Linked DNA regions of Saccharomyces cerevisiae S288C. The protein of the gene in region 3 interacts with the protein of the main gene of each other region in a biochemical or structural test. Each region holds a gene or a part of one and is shown on either strand. Other genes may lie near its edges. The genes, in order: ROG3, MF(ALPHA)1, STE2 and LDB19.

What was found.
Region 1: the proteins of STE2 (region 3) and ROG3 form a complex in vitro, tested with the Saccharomyces cerevisiae proteins (one study listed by BioGRID).
Region 2: the proteins of STE2 (region 3) and MF(ALPHA)1 form a complex in vitro, tested with the Saccharomyces cerevisiae proteins (one study listed by BioGRID).
Region 4: the proteins of STE2 (region 3) and LDB19 form a complex in vitro, tested with the Saccharomyces cerevisiae proteins (one study listed by BioGRID).

Annotation. Positions count from the first base shown.
Region 1 is NC_001138.5:195,294-200,082, reverse strand, and holds ROG3 (Rog3p), read right to left. Parts: upstream 3,251-4,789; coding exon 1,049-3,250; downstream 1-1,048. Other genes in the region: PES4 (Pes4p), read right to left, coding at 1-209; phosphoinositide binding protein ATG18, read right to left, coding at 3,769-4,789. UniProt on the Saccharomyces cerevisiae protein: Involved in resistance to GST substrate o-dinitrobenzene (o-DNB).
Region 2 is NC_001148.4:191,333-194,841, forward strand, and holds MF(ALPHA)1 (Mf(Alpha)1p), read left to right. Parts: upstream 1-2,315; coding exon 2,316-2,813; downstream 2,814-3,509. Other genes in the region: POS5 (NADH kinase), read left to right, coding at 74-1,318; UIP4 (Uip4p), read right to left, coding at 3,180-3,509. UniProt on the Saccharomyces cerevisiae protein: The active factor is excreted into the culture medium by haploid cells of the alpha mating type and acts on cells of the opposite mating type (type A).
Region 3 is NC_001138.5:80,401-84,720, reverse strand, and holds STE2 (alpha-factor pheromone receptor STE2), read right to left. Parts: upstream 2,142-4,320; coding exon 846-2,141; downstream 1-845. Other genes in the region: BST1 (Bst1p), read left to right, coding at 1-576; GTPase-activating protein GYP8, read left to right, coding at 2,809-4,302. UniProt on the Saccharomyces cerevisiae protein: Fungal class D1 G-protein-coupled receptor that acts as an alpha-factor pheromone receptor performing pheromone-dependent signal transduction involved in cellular conjugation, mating projection assembly, and in cell fusion.
Region 4 is NC_001147.6:917,885-923,197, reverse strand, and holds LDB19 (Ldb19p), read left to right. Parts: upstream 1-2,135; coding exon 2,136-4,592; downstream 4,593-5,313. Other genes in the region: PRO2 (glutamate-5-semialdehyde dehydrogenase), read left to right, coding at 293-1,663; dolichyl-phosphate-mannose-protein mannosyltransferase PMT3, read right to left, coding at 4,907-5,313. UniProt on the Saccharomyces cerevisiae protein: May be involved in protein-linked oligosaccharide phosphorylation since the deletion reduces the negative charge of the cell surface.

The DNA.
Region 1 (4,789 bases), 110 kb from region 3:
ATTCTCAAAAATTCAGGTGAATCAGAATGGCTCGAACTTGACGATCTGGATGTTTTTTCGTGGTAGTCGTCTGGCCTAATAGGAGTAACTACGGGGTTAAATGATATTTTCTTTTCTTGATCTTTTTTTACTTTCAAATCCTGGTTTTTCAAAATATTCAGGGGAACCATACTGAGTATAGAAGGTTTTTTGTTTGAAATAGAATACATGTTTCCTCTTGTAGGTTGAAATTTTTTTTGTGATACTGATTCTCTCGTTATTATTGGTTCGTTCAATTAATGAATAATTAGTTTGATTATTTTCCTCTTTATTTGACCTTAGGAACAGTTTTTAAGGTATACTCTGAACTGCAAATTTTTGTCATAACTCTTGGTAATCAAGGCTAGAAGTGTACTATTTTTGCTTTCTGCACAAGGCTTTTTCTTCGGTACGACACAAAAACAACTATTGTGTCGCAGTCCATAGAAGGAGCAAGAAAAAAGAATGTCTTTAAAGGCGAATGTGATTCTATGCTTTCTAGTACCTACTGTGCCGAATAATGTGTAAGTCTCAAAATTCTTTTCTTCCAAAGCATATCCATAATATTTACCTTACGCTGGGTATTTTTTTTTTGGTCACTCCAGATCTAGTTTTTTAAAACTTGATCCCAACGTAACTAAATATAAACAAGACAAAGCTCGAAATAATATAATGTAATTTAGCGAATGTAGTGTTTATATCACCACATTTGGAGAATGTACAATGAATAGTTTCTCTGTCTCTAATGGAATAAGAATTTAATTTCAAGATTTAATTACTTTATGGTGGACCATTTATCTTATGATATCTAGCAAATCAAAGGATCCCTCAAACTGAAAACCAATAGCAGGATCGACCTGACTCTTTTCAACAATGCAGTGGATTTTTTTGAACTTATACTGCCGCACGCCAAACATTGCATTTATCCCTTTTTCTTTAAAATGCCAGTTAGAGTGCGTAAATGCTATATACATCACTTTCTATATGAAACTATACAAGCTTAATGCACGAGCCGAAACAATATCGGCGACTATCGTTTGTTACCCTTTGATAGAAAACCTCCCATAAACCCAGCTAAAGAAGTAGCCCTCCGTCTTGTTGGTGACCTTTTCATACTATTACTGGATGGGTTATTCGAAGTTTTCGAAGTTAACTCATTAAGTGTATTAAGAGATACCCCACTAGAACTACTTCTAGAGCCATTAATTATGGAAATAGGGGAAGCAGTGCTACTCATAAAACTAGAGGAATGAAAGCTAGTTGGTATAGAAGATGACAATGTTGTCGAAGAGTTCCTGGAATGTACCCTACTGGGTTTTCTTGGTTGCACATTTTGTATCGCACAAGGGTAGGAAGGAGGAAGGTCCTCACCAATGATATCATATTTCATTGCCTTGCCATACGATGGAACCTTGTTCAGGTTTTGAGTCTCTGGATAATTTAAGCCCGAGGGCACTGGTAACACTTCATGGGCTGACACGCTTGGGGCTGGGGATCTTGAAAGTAAAACAGGTGATACGTTACTATGTACTCCTGGCACAGAGCCACTATTGGGACCAAGAGCACTCTGAGGTAAGATTCTCTCCGTGCCATCCTCTGGTGCTGGAACGTTTAGTAATGGAGATAGCGATCTGGAAGCGGCAGCAGACGAGGCAGACGGTGGTAGCCCTAGATTGTCACGTTGATTTCTAATTTTTGTCAACCGTATACGTAAATCTTCTAAATCCTGTTGCTGATCCTCGACAGTCGAACATTCGCTTCCCAAAGGAGTACATGTTCCAGACGTTTCCACAGCCGTGCGAGTGAAAGAACCGCTATAAAGACGATCATATACGTGCATTTCATAATTTGGGGGCGTCATCAAGTCTGAAATGGTAGGAACAGAGCCACCGCTACGCATATCCGCTAATAATTCCAACCCTGTGACTGATGCTGATCTAGAAAACAGATATTCCTCTTCCTCTTCTTGTGATGAGTTTTCGTCTTTCTGGTTAGTGGTGCTAAAAAGCGAATACAAATTCGAGGATGACAATGGTTTTATTGAAAGTGCCACAAATGGTGAAATAAAAAGTTGAATCGGTAAGGACGCTCTTAACTCAGATTTATGACCATCTGGGTTAATTAGGATGATGAAAAATTTGAGCTTATGGCGAACCTTAATGTTAGAGCGGACATCACAATCTTGCACACAGTTTGATAAGCTGTTCGGGATTTGCAGGATGGTATCAATCTCCCACTTGTCTTGGAATGAATGATCAGGCTGAAAAAAGGGGTTATTTACAAAGCAACCATTACCATTAAATTCTCCAGATGACTCGTTCAAGGGATCTTCAAGATTTAGTTCTGTCACTTGCCTATTTTCAGAAATTACTGGAGGGAAGGGGTCACAATATTGATAATTCTCAAATAATACGACTTTGATTGAGCCCAATTTCAAACCTTTCGAAAGAGGTACAATGGAAATATTTATAGGGGTGGCTGAACCAATAGCTACGGCTTTGTTGGGTACTGAAATAGAATAATCCACTTTGTCGGGCCATGAGTTATCTACACAAACAGTTTCTGATAACTCCACTGCTGCGGGTGAAATGGTTCTCAGAACTCTAATATTTTTCCTACAGATCAAATCACTATAATTTTTGCTGCGTTCAATAACGGATTCCATGCTATATGTCACGAAGCAATTTGGCAAAGATTCTACGCTCTCTGGTAACGAACCAGGCAAAATAGCACTAAAGGGAAAATCGTAGTTGCCCTTATCTAAAGTACATGAAGAGGGTGAGGAGGACCCCTTTAAAGACTTCAAGGAACTTGTGGACTGAGCTCTTTGGCGAGTGCCCAAGATATTACTTGATGAGCTACTGCCCGCAAGGCCAGATTGCCCTCTTAAACCACTCAGATACTCCTTGAGGTTAACATTATCCCATGCGTAATTATAAAAAACTTTGTTGTACTTTCTGATCTTTGGCGGCGATGAAGACAACGACGAAGAACTAGCGTCCTGGGGCCTCTCTAATGGTACGTCTATTTGTATCTTCCCATAAAGTCTCAATGATATGCTTTTGATCTGCATGGGTTCGTTAATCGATAAAACGATGCAACCAGATAAAAGCACCGAGGGGGCCTCGTTTGGAGGACCTTTGAGGAGTATTACATCGTTGTCAACATTTTTAAGTCTGATATCGAAAAGCAGAGGCTTTTTCTTAGTTGATTTACCGCTACTGAAGCCCATGTCGAACTTTTTGTATTTTTATTTTGCTAAGAGAGCTGCCTCTATGTAGCAACAATAGATATTGGCTCTTTATCAACGCCAATTATATAAACGAAAATAGCAAAAGGGTTTATACGCACTTTAAAACACCCTGATTCATCTATTAGCCGTATAGAGAATATACCGCATCACAAGTGATTTACCCGCGTGAAGTTAACTCTTCCGAGGAATCAAATACCAACTGATCCAAATTCGTAATCAACAGGGCTAAGCCGGAAGGAGGCTTCGTAGCGTAGTAACGTCACTCCAGTGATCCTTTTTCGACAAACAAATACTCGATCCATGAAAGCCATTTTTTTGAATTTTTATATCGAAAATTTCCCCTTTAGGCGAGTTCTATTGTTTTAAATAAAAACACCGCAACAAGATAATGGTGACGAAAATATTATGCAAAAGGATAGATTATACGCAGGAGTTTATATAAACTATATTGTGTATGCGTTGTGACGTACGGAAGGCAGCGCGAGACACTTCCGTGATCAATCCATCAAGATGGAATACTGTGACAATATTAAGCAATCGCCGCCTCTCTCCGGGTCCATAACAAAGTTGTATAGGTATCCATCCGAGGAAACGACCCTGATGGGGACCATCTTCATAACAGGCTCATGGTAGGACTCTGTACTTGCGGAATTGCCAGTTTCGAAGAGTTCCGGATACTCGGATGTGTCTATATCTATTGGAGAGCCTATACTTGATATGGTCATTACATGGGAATTGGTTTCAACGGGAAGTTTCAAAGACGCAAAATGGCGCGAGGATTCCAACAACGATGTAACTTTGATGGGGAAAATCTGACCCAATGTTCTGGCAGCTCTTCGGGATAGCTTTTGAGAAGAGTAACGTATCATCCTACCCATTGTCTTTCTTGATGCATCCACATATGGTTCTCTTGCGAGTCTTGTCGGGTTTTCCTCGTCACTCAGCGCATCGATACTGGTGGTATCGAGCGATGAATCATCGGCTGCAGCTTCTTCCATGTTGCTATCATCGCTGTCTAGTTTATTGTTGCTCATTGAATGCCCCAATTTGAAGATATGCACGGTTTTGGAAGAGCCGGTAACCGCCAAGTACTGGCTATCTTCACTGAATGATATGGAGTAAATTCTTGTCGCGTACGTCCCTCTCCTGAATTGGTAGATCTTATCACCCGTTTCAATGTCAAAGACCCTGATGATAGTACCTTTATCAGAGGCGGTAGCCATTAGTGTCCCATCAAAACTAATTGCCATTGCAGCAATCTCGCCCTTATGAGCTTCGATGACCATGGTTGGCTGTAATGTTTCCAAGTTGAATACGATCACATCACCATTCTTTATTATACTGCTGTTACCGCCGTTACTGCTTGTTGGATCCGCATCATCCCTCTTAGTAAAGCTCGAATACTGATCCAAGTCGCTAATGTCACTATGGCCAGCATCTTGCTGATCTCTCTTGAAACTGGTCTCTGTGTTGCCACCAACTGACAATGTGATATTGTTTGTGGTGGCATGAGCTTTA
Region 2 (3,509 bases), on a different chromosome or scaffold from region 3:
AGGAGAAGACTAAGTATTCATTATTCGCTGTTTCATAAATAAAAGGATAAAAAGGTTAAGGATACTGATTAAAATGTTTGTCAGGGTTAAATTGAATAAACCAGTAAAATGGTATAGGTTCTATAGTACGTTGGATTCACATTCCCTAAAGTTACAGAGCGGCTCGAAGTTTGTAAAAATAAAGCCAGTAAATAACTTGAGGAGTAGTTCATCAGCAGATTTCGTGTCCCCACCAAATTCCAAATTACAATCTTTAATCTGGCAGAACCCTTTACAAAATGTTTATATAACTAAAAAACCATGGACTCCATCCACAAGAGAAGCGATGGTTGAATTCATAACTCATTTACATGAGTCATACCCCGAGGTGAACGTCATTGTTCAACCCGATGTGGCAGAAGAAATTTCCCAGGATTTCAAATCTCCTTTGGAGAATGATCCCAACCGACCTCATATACTTTATACTGGTCCTGAACAAGATATCGTAAACAGAACAGACTTATTGGTGACATTGGGAGGTGATGGGACTATTTTACACGGCGTATCAATGTTCGGAAATACGCAAGTTCCTCCGGTTTTAGCATTTGCTCTGGGCACTCTGGGCTTTCTATCACCGTTTGATTTTAAGGAGCATAAAAAGGTCTTTCAGGAAGTAATCAGCTCTAGAGCCAAATGTTTGCATAGAACACGGCTAGAATGTCATTTGAAAAAAAAGGATAGCAACTCATCTATTGTGACCCATGCTATGAATGACATATTCTTACATAGGGGTAATTCCCCTCATCTCACTAACCTGGACATTTTCATTGATGGGGAATTTTTGACAAGAACGACAGCAGATGGTGTTGCATTGGCCACTCCAACGGGTTCCACAGCATATTCATTATCAGCAGGTGGATCTATTGTTTCCCCATTAGTCCCTGCTATTTTAATGACACCAATTTGTCCTCGCTCTTTGTCATTCCGACCACTGATTTTGCCTCATTCATCCCACATTAGGATAAAGATAGGTTCCAAATTGAACCAAAAACCAGTCAACAGTGTGGTAAAACTTTCTGTTGATGGTATTCCTCAACAGGATTTAGATGTTGGTGATGAAATTTATGTTATAAATGAGGTCGGCACTATATACATAGATGGTACTCAGCTTCCGACGACAAGAAAAACTGAAAATGACTTTAATAATTCAAAAAAGCCTAAAAGGTCAGGGATTTATTGTGTCGCCAAGACCGAGAATGACTGGATTAGAGGAATCAATGAACTTTTAGGATTCAATTCTAGCTTTAGGCTGACCAAGAGACAGACTGATAATGATTAAACGCTCTGAATGCAAAGATTCAATGAGATTCTCTAAGAATTCTATTGATAAGATTTAAAGGTATTTGACAAGTAGAGATCTTTATTTTTTCTTGCATTTTGTCTAGAGAAATCTCAACTGACATACTCGACATGAAATTTTTGGTATTGTGTCTTTTATTCTATTGCTTTAAGAAAACTGTGACATATAGGGAAGACATGCTTAACAAGAAGATATAATTATATAATATATATATTATTAATAATAACATCCTTACTGCAGTCCTGTTGTGGGAGAAAATGGAGAGAGACTATGTTTCGTATCAATTCCTAAAATCAAAAAAAAAAAAAAAAAAAAGTTAAACAAGCACTCGCTGTTCATTTGTTTTACAAGTATTCATACTCTAATAGGTCATTGAGCTTCTTTTCTTGAGGAGAGATCCAATTTGAAGTCGGAATAAGATTTGCTTTCATTAGCGTAGGCAATAATTATGAGATAAATGGTGCAGCACTATTAAGTAGTGTGGATTTCAATAATTTCCGAATTAGGAATAAATGCGCTAAATAGACATCCCGTTCTCTTTGGTAATCTGCATAATTCTGATGCAATATCCAACAACTATTTGTGCAATTATTTAACAAAATCCAATTAACTTTCCTAATTAGTCCTTCAATAGAACATCTGTATTCCTTTTTTTTATGAACACCTTCCTAATTAGGCCATCAACGACAGTAAATTTTGCCGAATTTAATAGCTTCTACTGAAAAACAGTGGACCATGTGAAAAGATGCATCTCATTTATCAAACACATAATATTCAAGTGAGCCTTACTTCAATTGTATTGAAGTGCAAGAAAACCAAAAAGCAACAACAGGTTTTGGATAAGTACATATATAAGAGGGCCTTTTGTTCCCATCAAAAATGTTACTGTTCTTACGATTCATTTACGATTCAAGAATAGTTCAAACAAGAAGATTACAAACTATCAATTTCATACACAATATAAACGATTAAAAGAATGAGATTTCCTTCAATTTTTACTGCAGTTTTATTCGCAGCATCCTCCGCATTAGCTGCTCCAGTCAACACTACAACAGAAGATGAAACGGCACAAATTCCGGCTGAAGCTGTCATCGGTTACTTAGATTTAGAAGGGGATTTCGATGTTGCTGTTTTGCCATTTTCCAACAGCACAAATAACGGGTTATTGTTTATAAATACTACTATTGCCAGCATTGCTGCTAAAGAAGAAGGGGTATCTTTGGATAAAAGAGAGGCTGAAGCTTGGCATTGGTTGCAACTAAAACCTGGCCAACCAATGTACAAGAGAGAAGCCGAAGCTGAAGCTTGGCATTGGCTGCAACTAAAGCCTGGCCAACCAATGTACAAAAGAGAAGCCGACGCTGAAGCTTGGCATTGGCTGCAACTAAAGCCTGGCCAACCAATGTACAAAAGAGAAGCCGACGCTGAAGCTTGGCATTGGTTGCAGTTAAAACCCGGCCAACCAATGTACTAAGCCCGACTGATAACAACAGTGTAGATGTAACAAAGTCGACTTTGTTCCCACTGTACTTTTAGCTCGTACAAAATACAATATACTTTTCATTTCTCCGTAAACAACATGTTTTCCCATGTAATATCCTTTTCTATTTTTCGTTCCGTTACCAACTTTACACATACTTTATATAGCTATTCACTTCTATACACTAAAAAACTAAGACAATTTTAATTTTGCTGCCTGCCATATTTCAATTTGTTATAAATTCCTATAATTTATCCTATTAGTAGCTAAAAAAAGATGAATGTGAATCGAATCCTAAGAGAATTCAACAGCGTAAAATACAAAGAGGATAACGACAACGAAAAAAAATACACTCCCTGATTATGATGCCTCTGAGCTTGACATTTTCGTTGTCAACCAAGAAAACCATGAGCCAAAAAAGCGTCCTAACGCTCCCAGTAGCTTTTTCAAAACACTTTCATAATCTTCAGTATTGGCATCGCCTTCTTTTACAATTGACTTAGCGTTTTGATCGGCGGGTTTATCTATTTTCTGTATTTCTTCTTGTTCGGACATATCCGTATTTTCAGTATCAGAACCGTTGATCTCATGTTCTGATTCTTGCGTGTCGGTGACGTCTGTATCTTCATTAACTCTTGTGTTATCATTATCATTACCTTCAGATAGATTGTCTAAACCTTTGTCCTGTTT
Region 3 (4,320 bases):
CAACGGAAGTTATCAAAGAAAAACACTGAAGATAAAGAGGCTTTTGATACTATTGAACATAAAGCGTATGGTAAGGGAAGATTAATGGCATCTGTGCTTTTATTACTGTTGGTATTTTTTCACATACCATACCAGATGGCGTTTGTTATCTCATTAGTAATCCAAATTGCTACCTGCATTAGAGTAGCGCTGTTGAAACTATCAAACAACGAGCAGAAATTGAACTTACTAAATTATAATATGACGTTGCTTCTGCTTTTATTATTTGTTAGTGCCATTAACATCCCTATCATTATTGTTTTCCTGCATAATGTTGCCATCAAATGGGAAACTTCATTTAGATCCCATCACAATATACTAGCAGTGGCACCAATTATTTTTTTGGTTGGAAATAATTCTATTTTCAAAATGCCAAACAGCGTACCTTTAGACACGTGGGATGGTAAAGTTACCATCATTTTATTTGTGTACTTAACCGTTTTCAGTTTCATTTATGGAATAAGAAATCTGTACTGGATACACCACTTGGTGAACATAATATGTGCCTGGTTGCTATTTTTCGAAACAATACATTAGAACTACAACCCAGTAAAAAAAGATTAACTGTATATATTGCCTGAGAGTTCTAGATCATGGCAAGAAAAAAGCTTGAACTCGTAAAAGCAAAGGTGGTTTCTACCACTACTTACGAGATGTTTATTATGTAAAGGAGTTTAAATATTATCAAATAAGAAAGATACCATTTTTTTTTATAGAGAATGTGGTGCATCTGATGAGCACCTGAATCTAGTAGTAACCTTATACCGAAGGTCACGAAATTACTTTTTCAAAGCCGTAAATTTTGATCATAAATTATTATTATCTTCAGTCCAGAACTTTCTGGCTTCCTCATCAGCTGCCGTATCGGGAGTGTACATGTCGACGGGTTCAACTTCTCCCTCTTTGTAACTTGCATCAGCAAACGGTCCTATCCTAGTATTTTTTGAACTCGTAGGTGTGGGCAACTGATAAAACTGATTTTTCTCTATATCATCTGCAGTCTCAGAAACAAAAGTTCTTTCCGAATGTTTATCCGATGTTGTTTCCTTCCTTCTAGGATATAGGTCATATAATCTACTTCTGAGACTGCTTTTAGCATCGTTGTTGATACTATCAGTTTGAAAGCTAGACAGCGTGCCTGGATAAAACCTATCTGTGGATGTTGTAAAGTCTGAAGTAATTGTGTTTGTTTTGGATGCATTATTAGCAGCCGTGGCCCACATTGATGATAATGGTAAAGACAATACAGCAAGTAATGTTGCAACAGTAGTCAAGACATCTGTTCCCTGGTTTGGTTTCAAACTGTATGCGAGGATGAATATTATCGATGGAACCAACAAAGATTGACATGACATTATGAGTAAAATATGGAAACTATCGAACTGCTTGAGACCAAGGAATCTTCTTGATCTAATAGCTAAAATCAATTTAACTACCAGGACAAATGACATAAAGTTTATTGAGGATGCAAGTAAAATTGTGGATGCATTGAAGTATTTATCTTGGGTGGCACTAACATCATTATAAGTCACAATCATACCTTTAACAGCGCTTACAAAATACATGGTAACTGTAGCAATCCCTAAAGTGAAAGATATCGACGTCAGCATCAAACCTATCCTTTTGAAGTTGTCGCCTGTGAAAATAACTTTTATCTGAAACACCAGTGAAGTCTCAATAGAAGCCACAAGAAGGACTTGAATTATATTTGTAGCACCATAAACATGAACGTCACCTCTACTGATGAACTGAGGAAATCCGGTGAGAGCGTAAGTCACTGAAGAGTAATTAGACAGTAAATATTTAAAATAGAGTGCAGAATGCAAAATGATTAAAAACAATGAAACTTGGTTGATAATGAAAATCGGCGTTTTTCTGCTTCTCGATGTCATCCACATGACAATCAAAGTCAAAGCAGCTGCACCACATCTGACACCAAACATAATGGCCTGAGTAACAGTACTGTTAACTAAACCTTGCAACTCATCGAAAGTGATGGTAGATCCATTCCCATATATGGAAGTGTAGTTAATGGTGCTTTGACCAGGATTATACGTTGGATCATAAAATAGATTGCTCAATGAAGGAGCCGCATCAGACATTTTTGATTCTTGGATATGGTTCTTAACGGTGCATTTTTAAGTAACCAATTATAATTATAGCCAGAGCAGGTGAAAAGAAAAGGTATCGTATTGCTTTGAAGTCAAATAAGATACTAATAGCACTCCTTAAATAGTATTCCACCCACAGAAAAAAATCTTGAATATGTAGGAAAGCTTTTTTCTTCATATGTGTTTCATCATGTACTTACCCAATTAGGAAATTTACATGGTTGAAAAAACTTCAATCTGCGACTTGCCAGGCACAGGTCCTAAGCAGTATGGACGTTGGCCTGCTTAAATTCTTAGCGGATACTATTGTTTCATTGCAAAGCAGGATACTTCTTCTCGTTTATACTAGCCTGTCTTAATGCACGAGACATTTACCCACAGAGCAAGACGTATATTGACGGATTGCAACACCTATTCGAGCACTACAGCGTGTGACAATGCATTTTGGCAGGCATTGGATAACATATCCGGACTATTCTACAGTTCGTTCTATGCTCTTATCTTGAATCTTTGGTGTATTAAAAAGCTTATTGAGGTTTCATAGCTAAATTTTTCCTTTTTTCTCTCTGGGAAGGGAAGATTATCTTGAATTGGCAAAGTAAAGAAATAAAGAGAAAATTTAGCAAATGACATAGAACAAGCCAATTAACAAAATACGATGCCATTAAGGTCATTATTTCATACTAATCAGAGTAGCCACGACAAAGACGCGTTGACAAGGGGAGGTTATAACGCATATCTGGAATCACTTTCTCGTTGTGACAGTGGAAAGGCAGAAGAACAAAAAGGAAAAGTTATATCAAAGTTATTAGAGAAAAAAGATGTCCGAGCTTTGAGGTACATAGGTTTAGGGCCTCTGGGGTTTGTAAACAACTCATTAAGAAAAGATTGTTGGTATGAATTATTGGCGTCCCAGTTGCTTATTGATGATGCAACAGAGTACATTACACCAGTGGAAAAACATAAAGATGAAGGTCAGGTGATATTGGATGCAGAAAGGTCTTTTGGTGGAATTGTCGACAAAAACTTGAAACTGCAATTGAGAAAACTACTGGTGGAGTTAATTACTCGGGTATTGAGAAAGTACCCAACGTTGAACTATTACCAAGGTTATCATGATATTGTGTCTGTTTTCATCATGTGTTTTAGTTGGAATGTCACAAAAGAGAACGGACTGGAACTAGAAAATCTCTCATTGCAAGAAGAAATTGATATGGAAAGGCTGTTTTATTGCATCGAAGCATTTACCCTATTATATCTGAGGGATTTCATGATGAACTCACTAGATTTTTCATTTGAGCAATTGAGAGTAATCTCTTCATTGATAAAGGAATCAAACATGAAATTCTATAATCTATTCAAATTTGACGAAAATGAGCCCCTTTTCGCTATTGGGTCAATATTGACAATCTTTGCACATAATTTGAAACCTATAGATAGCGGTGACAACAATCTTCATAAAATTCTTTTCCAGATATTTGACATGACAATATCGATGCAATCTATGCGTTTACCTTTGATCATATACAAGAACCTGCTATTGCAAAATGCGTCTGAAATTTCGAAGCAAATAGAAGCTAATTCTGATTTCTTCGAGAACGATTTTGACCTGCGCCATGGTGCTATACAAACAGTTTTACAGAAAAAACTGTATGATGAGGCGCTTTGGGAAGAAGTCTTGCAAATAACTAGAAAAGATGCGACTACTGCCAGCAAGAAGGCTTTGAAACGGGTGAGTCTTAATAAATATAGTGCATTACTCAATACAGCATGTGGAAAGCCAGGATGCTTCGATATGAGCACCATTATCTTCTATTTGAGCGAACAAACAAAGATGAACGAGCATTACAAGGAAGAAAAGTATCATGGTGTCGCCGCCAGATCCAAGACAAGGGCGTTGGTCCAAAGACTTGGCCATTTTTTACCCTCCAAATATAACAGGTGGAGCAAAATTTCTTTACTTATCGGGATTGTAGCTATCCTGTACCAATTACGGACTACAAGGTCGTTGAGTTTAGTACTCAATCTACGTTACATGATCTCCACAAAGTTGAAAGACTTATCACATATAAATATAAATTTGCACCACGTTAGTCACATCTGGGTGGATCCGATTAGGGACATTTTGAAACTGGGGCATCCAACTAGATAGCATACAATATACCTTATA
Region 4 (5,313 bases), on a different chromosome or scaffold from region 3:
CGCGTACAAAGATAAAATCACCTCTGAACATAATAATATACATCTATATACATATATATATATATATATATCACACATCAATCAACGCGCATGGACATTTGAATCAATGGGGCAGGAAAGGCGATGCAGTGGCCAAATTTCTTTGTTCATTTGTGGCGTTGGGTCAATGAGTCAAAAAATGAAAAAAGTCGACAGACGTTTTTCAAAAAGCTTCAAGAAAAGAAGAGAAAAAGTAAAAGCGTATTGGTAAAAAGAGTAAGAACAAAAAGGAGCACAGGCAACCAATATAAAGATGTCCAGTTCACAACAAATAGCCAAAAATGCCCGTAAAGCAGGGAATATTTTGAAAACCATCTCAAACGAGGGCAGATCAGATATTTTATACAAAATTCACGATGCCCTGAAGGCTAATGCGCATGCCATTGAAGAAGCGAATAAAATCGATTTAGCTGTTGCCAAAGAGACTGGCCTAGCGGATTCTTTATTGAAACGTCTCGACCTATTTAAAGGGGACAAATTTGAAGTTATGTTACAAGGTATTAAGGATGTAGCCGAACTAGAAGACCCTGTTGGCAAGGTTAAAATGGCCAGGGAATTAGATGATGGCTTGACGTTGTACCAAGTAACCGCTCCAGTCGGCGTTTTGTTAGTTATCTTTGAATCCCGTCCAGAAGTTATTGCCAATATTACCGCATTGAGTATCAAGTCTGGTAATGCTGCAATTTTGAAGGGTGGTAAAGAGTCTGTGAACACGTTCAGAGAAATGGCAAAGATCGTTAACGACACCATTGCACAATTCCAAAGTGAGACTGGTGTTCCTGTGGGCTCTGTGCAATTGATCGAAACCAGACAGGATGTTTCCGACTTGTTGGATCAAGATGAGTACATCGACTTAGTTGTTCCTCGTGGTTCCAATGCCTTAGTCAGAAAAATCAAGGACACTACAAAAATTCCCGTGTTGGGTCATGCGGATGGTATCTGCTCAATTTACTTGGATGAAGACGCAGATTTGATTAAGGCAAAAAGAATTAGTTTGGATGCAAAGACTAACTACCCAGCTGGTTGCAACGCTATGGAAACGTTGTTGATTAACCCAAAATTCTCTAAGTGGTGGGAAGTTCTGGAAAACTTAACTTTGGAAGGCGGAGTGACTATCCACGCTACAAAAGATTTGAAAACTGCGTATTTTGATAAACTGAATGAGTTAGGGAAATTGACAGAAGCAATTCAATGCAAAACCGTTGATGCTGATGAGGAGCAAGATTTTGATAAGGAATTTTTATCCTTGGATTTGGCTGCCAAGTTTGTTACATCTACAGAATCGGCCATTCAACATATAAATACACACTCTTCGAGACATACCGACGCTATTGTAACGGAAAATAAAGCAAACGCTGAAAAATTTATGAAGGGTGTCGACTCCTCTGGTGTTTACTGGAATGCATCAACTAGATTTGCCGATGGTTTCAGGTACGGTTTTGGTGCTGAAGTGGGTATTTCTACCTCTAAGATTCACGCCCGTGGTCCAGTTGGCTTGGACGGTCTGGTGAGTTATCAATACCAAATAAGAGGTGACGGCCAGGTTGCTAGTGACTACCTTGGTGCTGGTGGTAACAAAGCTTTTGTTCACAAGGATTTAGATATAAAGACTGTGACATTATAAAAATTTTTAGGATAAAGCTAAGTTCCATGTATGAAGGACGTGTATACATAGTTCAGTAAAGCCATCAAATAAGTACTCTTGTCAACTCATTCTATGGTGTGATAGTTAATTGCTTACTTGTATCGCTATTAACGACTTTTTTTTTCTTTTGGCGGAAGCTTCAAGACAAAAATGCGATTTGAGCTGACTCGAACACTTATTAAACCAGACGGAAAAGCACGACTCATACATATCATAGGCAGTTTTTACTAGGGCTCCGAATACTTTGAATAATAAGGTTGATTAAGTTTGTGTGCTTCATCCAATTAGCTTTCAGTTTTCCTTATTTAAGCTTCTGATTTCGGAATCAAAAGTTGAGCAACGTTATAGCTTGCTTTTTCGGAGGAGAACGCTGTTGTTCACATTTCAACACCAGAAATTGCTGATTTTTACTCCTACTTAGTATACATTTCACTAAACAATACGTTTTACCATGGCATTTTCACGTCTTACATCTACTCATCAGTCCAATCATAACGGCTACAGTAATAGCAACAAAAAAGGACAAAGTCTTCCACTAACCCTTTCTATTGATGTAGAATCACCGCCATGTGTTCTTTATGGGTCTGCTATGGAATCCTCAGGTGCTGTGCTAAGTGGACTTTTTACTGTGACGGTTGTCGATCCCTACAGTAGTGCTGAAGATAAATCTTTAAAGAATACAGAATCTAATGTGTCGACTACTTCTAAAAGCCTAAAAAGAAAGAGTACATTTGGTTCTGCACTTTCATCTAGATTGTCCAGCTTGTCAGCGTCGACGTCAAATATCTCTCCTTCAACATCTTCTACATCCATATCGCATTCTCCCACGCCTGCTAATTTAAGAATAATGGCTGGTTATACCAAGATCACCATTACGTCGGTAACACTAAGTTTGGTACAGAAGATCCATTTCCATAAACCCTTTGTGCCTAATATTTCCTCAATGCAAACCTGTATGAACTGTAAAACAAAGATTACAAACATGAAAAGCTGGGAAATTCAGAGTAATACCCAGGATCTTTCTGTTGGAAGCCACTCTTACCCATTTTCCTATCTTATACCGGGGTCTGTCCCATGTTCTTCATCGCTAGGTGCTACGGCTGAAACCCAGGTCAAATACGAACTTATCGCTGTTGTGACGTATATAGATCCTCATAGAAATTCCTTTTCTTCCGGTCATTCTACTCCCAGGAAAGAAGGAAGCTCTTCTAAGAAGCGGTTGTTGCAACTAGCGATGCCCATCGCCGTGACTCGAAGTATACCGCGCGGGCCTGATAAGAATTCTCTAAGAGTATTTCCTCCTACAGAGTTAACTGCTGCTGCTGTTCTTCCTAATGTTGTATATCCTAAATCTACTTTTCCTTTGGAGATGAAATTAGACGGTGTTTCTTCGGGGGATAGGAGATGGCGAATGCGTAAATTGAGTTGGAGAATTGAAGAAACTACAAGAGTTAAAGCACATGCTTGTCCAGTGCACAAGCATGAATTGAGGCAGTTAGAAGAGCAGGTTAAAATAAAAGAGTCAGAAAAAAGTAAAAAGCCACGCAGTCATATTAAGCGTTATGGTGAACTAGGCCCACAAATCCGGGTTGCAGTAAACTCTTTAGAAAATATGCCGTCGCAAAGGCTTCCAGGCGAGCCCGGTCGTGAACAAGCACCTAATTCTTCGGGTCCAGCGTCAACTGGTAATGTTGGACTTGATGATGAAAATCCTGTTAATGAAGATGAGGAAGACCAACCCGGTAGCGAATTCATCCATCCCAGTGACGACGCTTTGCGTCAGGAGTTACTAATGCAGCAACAACGCGCAAGACAACAACAACTTCAACAAGAGCTAAAAAACAACAGTAGTTTATTTACGGAAGAGGTTCGGATAATATCTAAGGGAGAAATGAAGAGTGGATGGAAAACCGATTTTGACAATAATGGAAAGATTGAGCTAGTTACAGAAATAGATTGTATGGGACTTAATTCAGGCGTCTCTAATCCGGTAATGCATGCATCGACACTACAAACTCCTTCCACGGGCAATAAGAAGCCCAGCATCAATGTGGCTTGCGATATACAGGATCCAAATTTAGGTTTGTATGTAAGCCACATCTTGGCAGTGGAAATAGTTGTTGCAGAAGAAACATTGCAATATGCCAATGGGCAACCTATACGGAAACCAAACTCCAAAAACAAGAAAGAAACTAATAACAATACGATGAATGTTCATAATCCTGATCAACGCTTAGCTGAATTATCTCCAATTTTTGCAAATAGAAATACACCGAAAGTACGGCGCATGGGGCCTGAAGATATAACACCGGTGAATAGTAATAAGTCCAACCATAGTACTAATAAGGAGAAGGCATCTAACGGTGCTAGTAACTCTAATATAGTGAGTGTTCCCACTGGTGCAGCACGTGTTTTAAGAATGCAATTCAGATTAACAGTCACTGAAAGATCTGGACTTGGAATCTCCTGGGACGAAGAAGTTCCTCCCATTTACCAAGATGTCGAGTTGCTCTCGCCACCATGTTACGAGCTCTCTATAAATAATGGAATCAAAAATAAACTTTATTCAACAATGAGTACTCCTGTTAGATCAGAGGATGATTTTGTGGGCGGCAGCGATGAAGATATTGGGAACTATGAGAGCCAAGGGCTCGAACCTGGTCCTAACGTACAGGAAGTAACGATCACACAAAATAAATTAACGATACCACCAACCGCACATCACTACCAGCCTGCTTCCTCTTCGCAAAGATCCCTTACCACAGTACAGTCACCACCACTGGAAAGTGTTGTTAGTGTCCAGGGTAGTGTACCTTTTCGTGGACATGTGTTGACACCACATAGCACAAGAGATATCAGAATACAAAACTTTTCCGATTTTCTAGATTCCAATAGAATAACCCAGTAGATTTTATAATATTCGTTAAAGGTATTTACCATATATTTTTATCTTAGATACCTGAAAACTACAAATCTGATCAATAAGCAAACCCTGACCATGATTTGATGCATTTCACAGATAACTACATACAGGCATTGTTTAACACTTGAGCATTTTTTTTCTCGTATTTTCTTAAGGCTGGACTGGATTAATATCTTCATTTCGTCGTAGGTACATAGCTTTGTTATGATAAAGAAGAAGGCATAAGTCGAAAAAGATATTTCGCGCATCAATTAACATTTTTTGTGTGGTGAAGAAAAGTTTTTGATCATTCTATATATCTATGTGTTACGTATATCTTCAACAATCTGCCACGTAGGTAGCCATGCCAAGTACGCGTAATCATCTACTGGACCATCCATCCCAAAACTAAAAGGAGAGAAATAAAAAAATCCAGCGATCACGATTGATCCGTATACAATATAAGCTCCTAGCCTTAGAAATTTTCCAGTGTTTCTTGTAGCCCAACGTTTGGTAATCATATCGAAGTAGTATGACAAGATCATTAAGGCAAAATAAAGGGTGGGCAGATAGTGGTGAGCGTATACAACTCTTGACATCACTACGAATGGCATATAATGTAAAAGCCAAGCAAGCAATGGATAAAAGGCTGCCATAACGAACACGTCACGTTCGACTGGATCGGATAGGATAACACATTGTCTCTGCCATTTCAGAGTTAAGAATA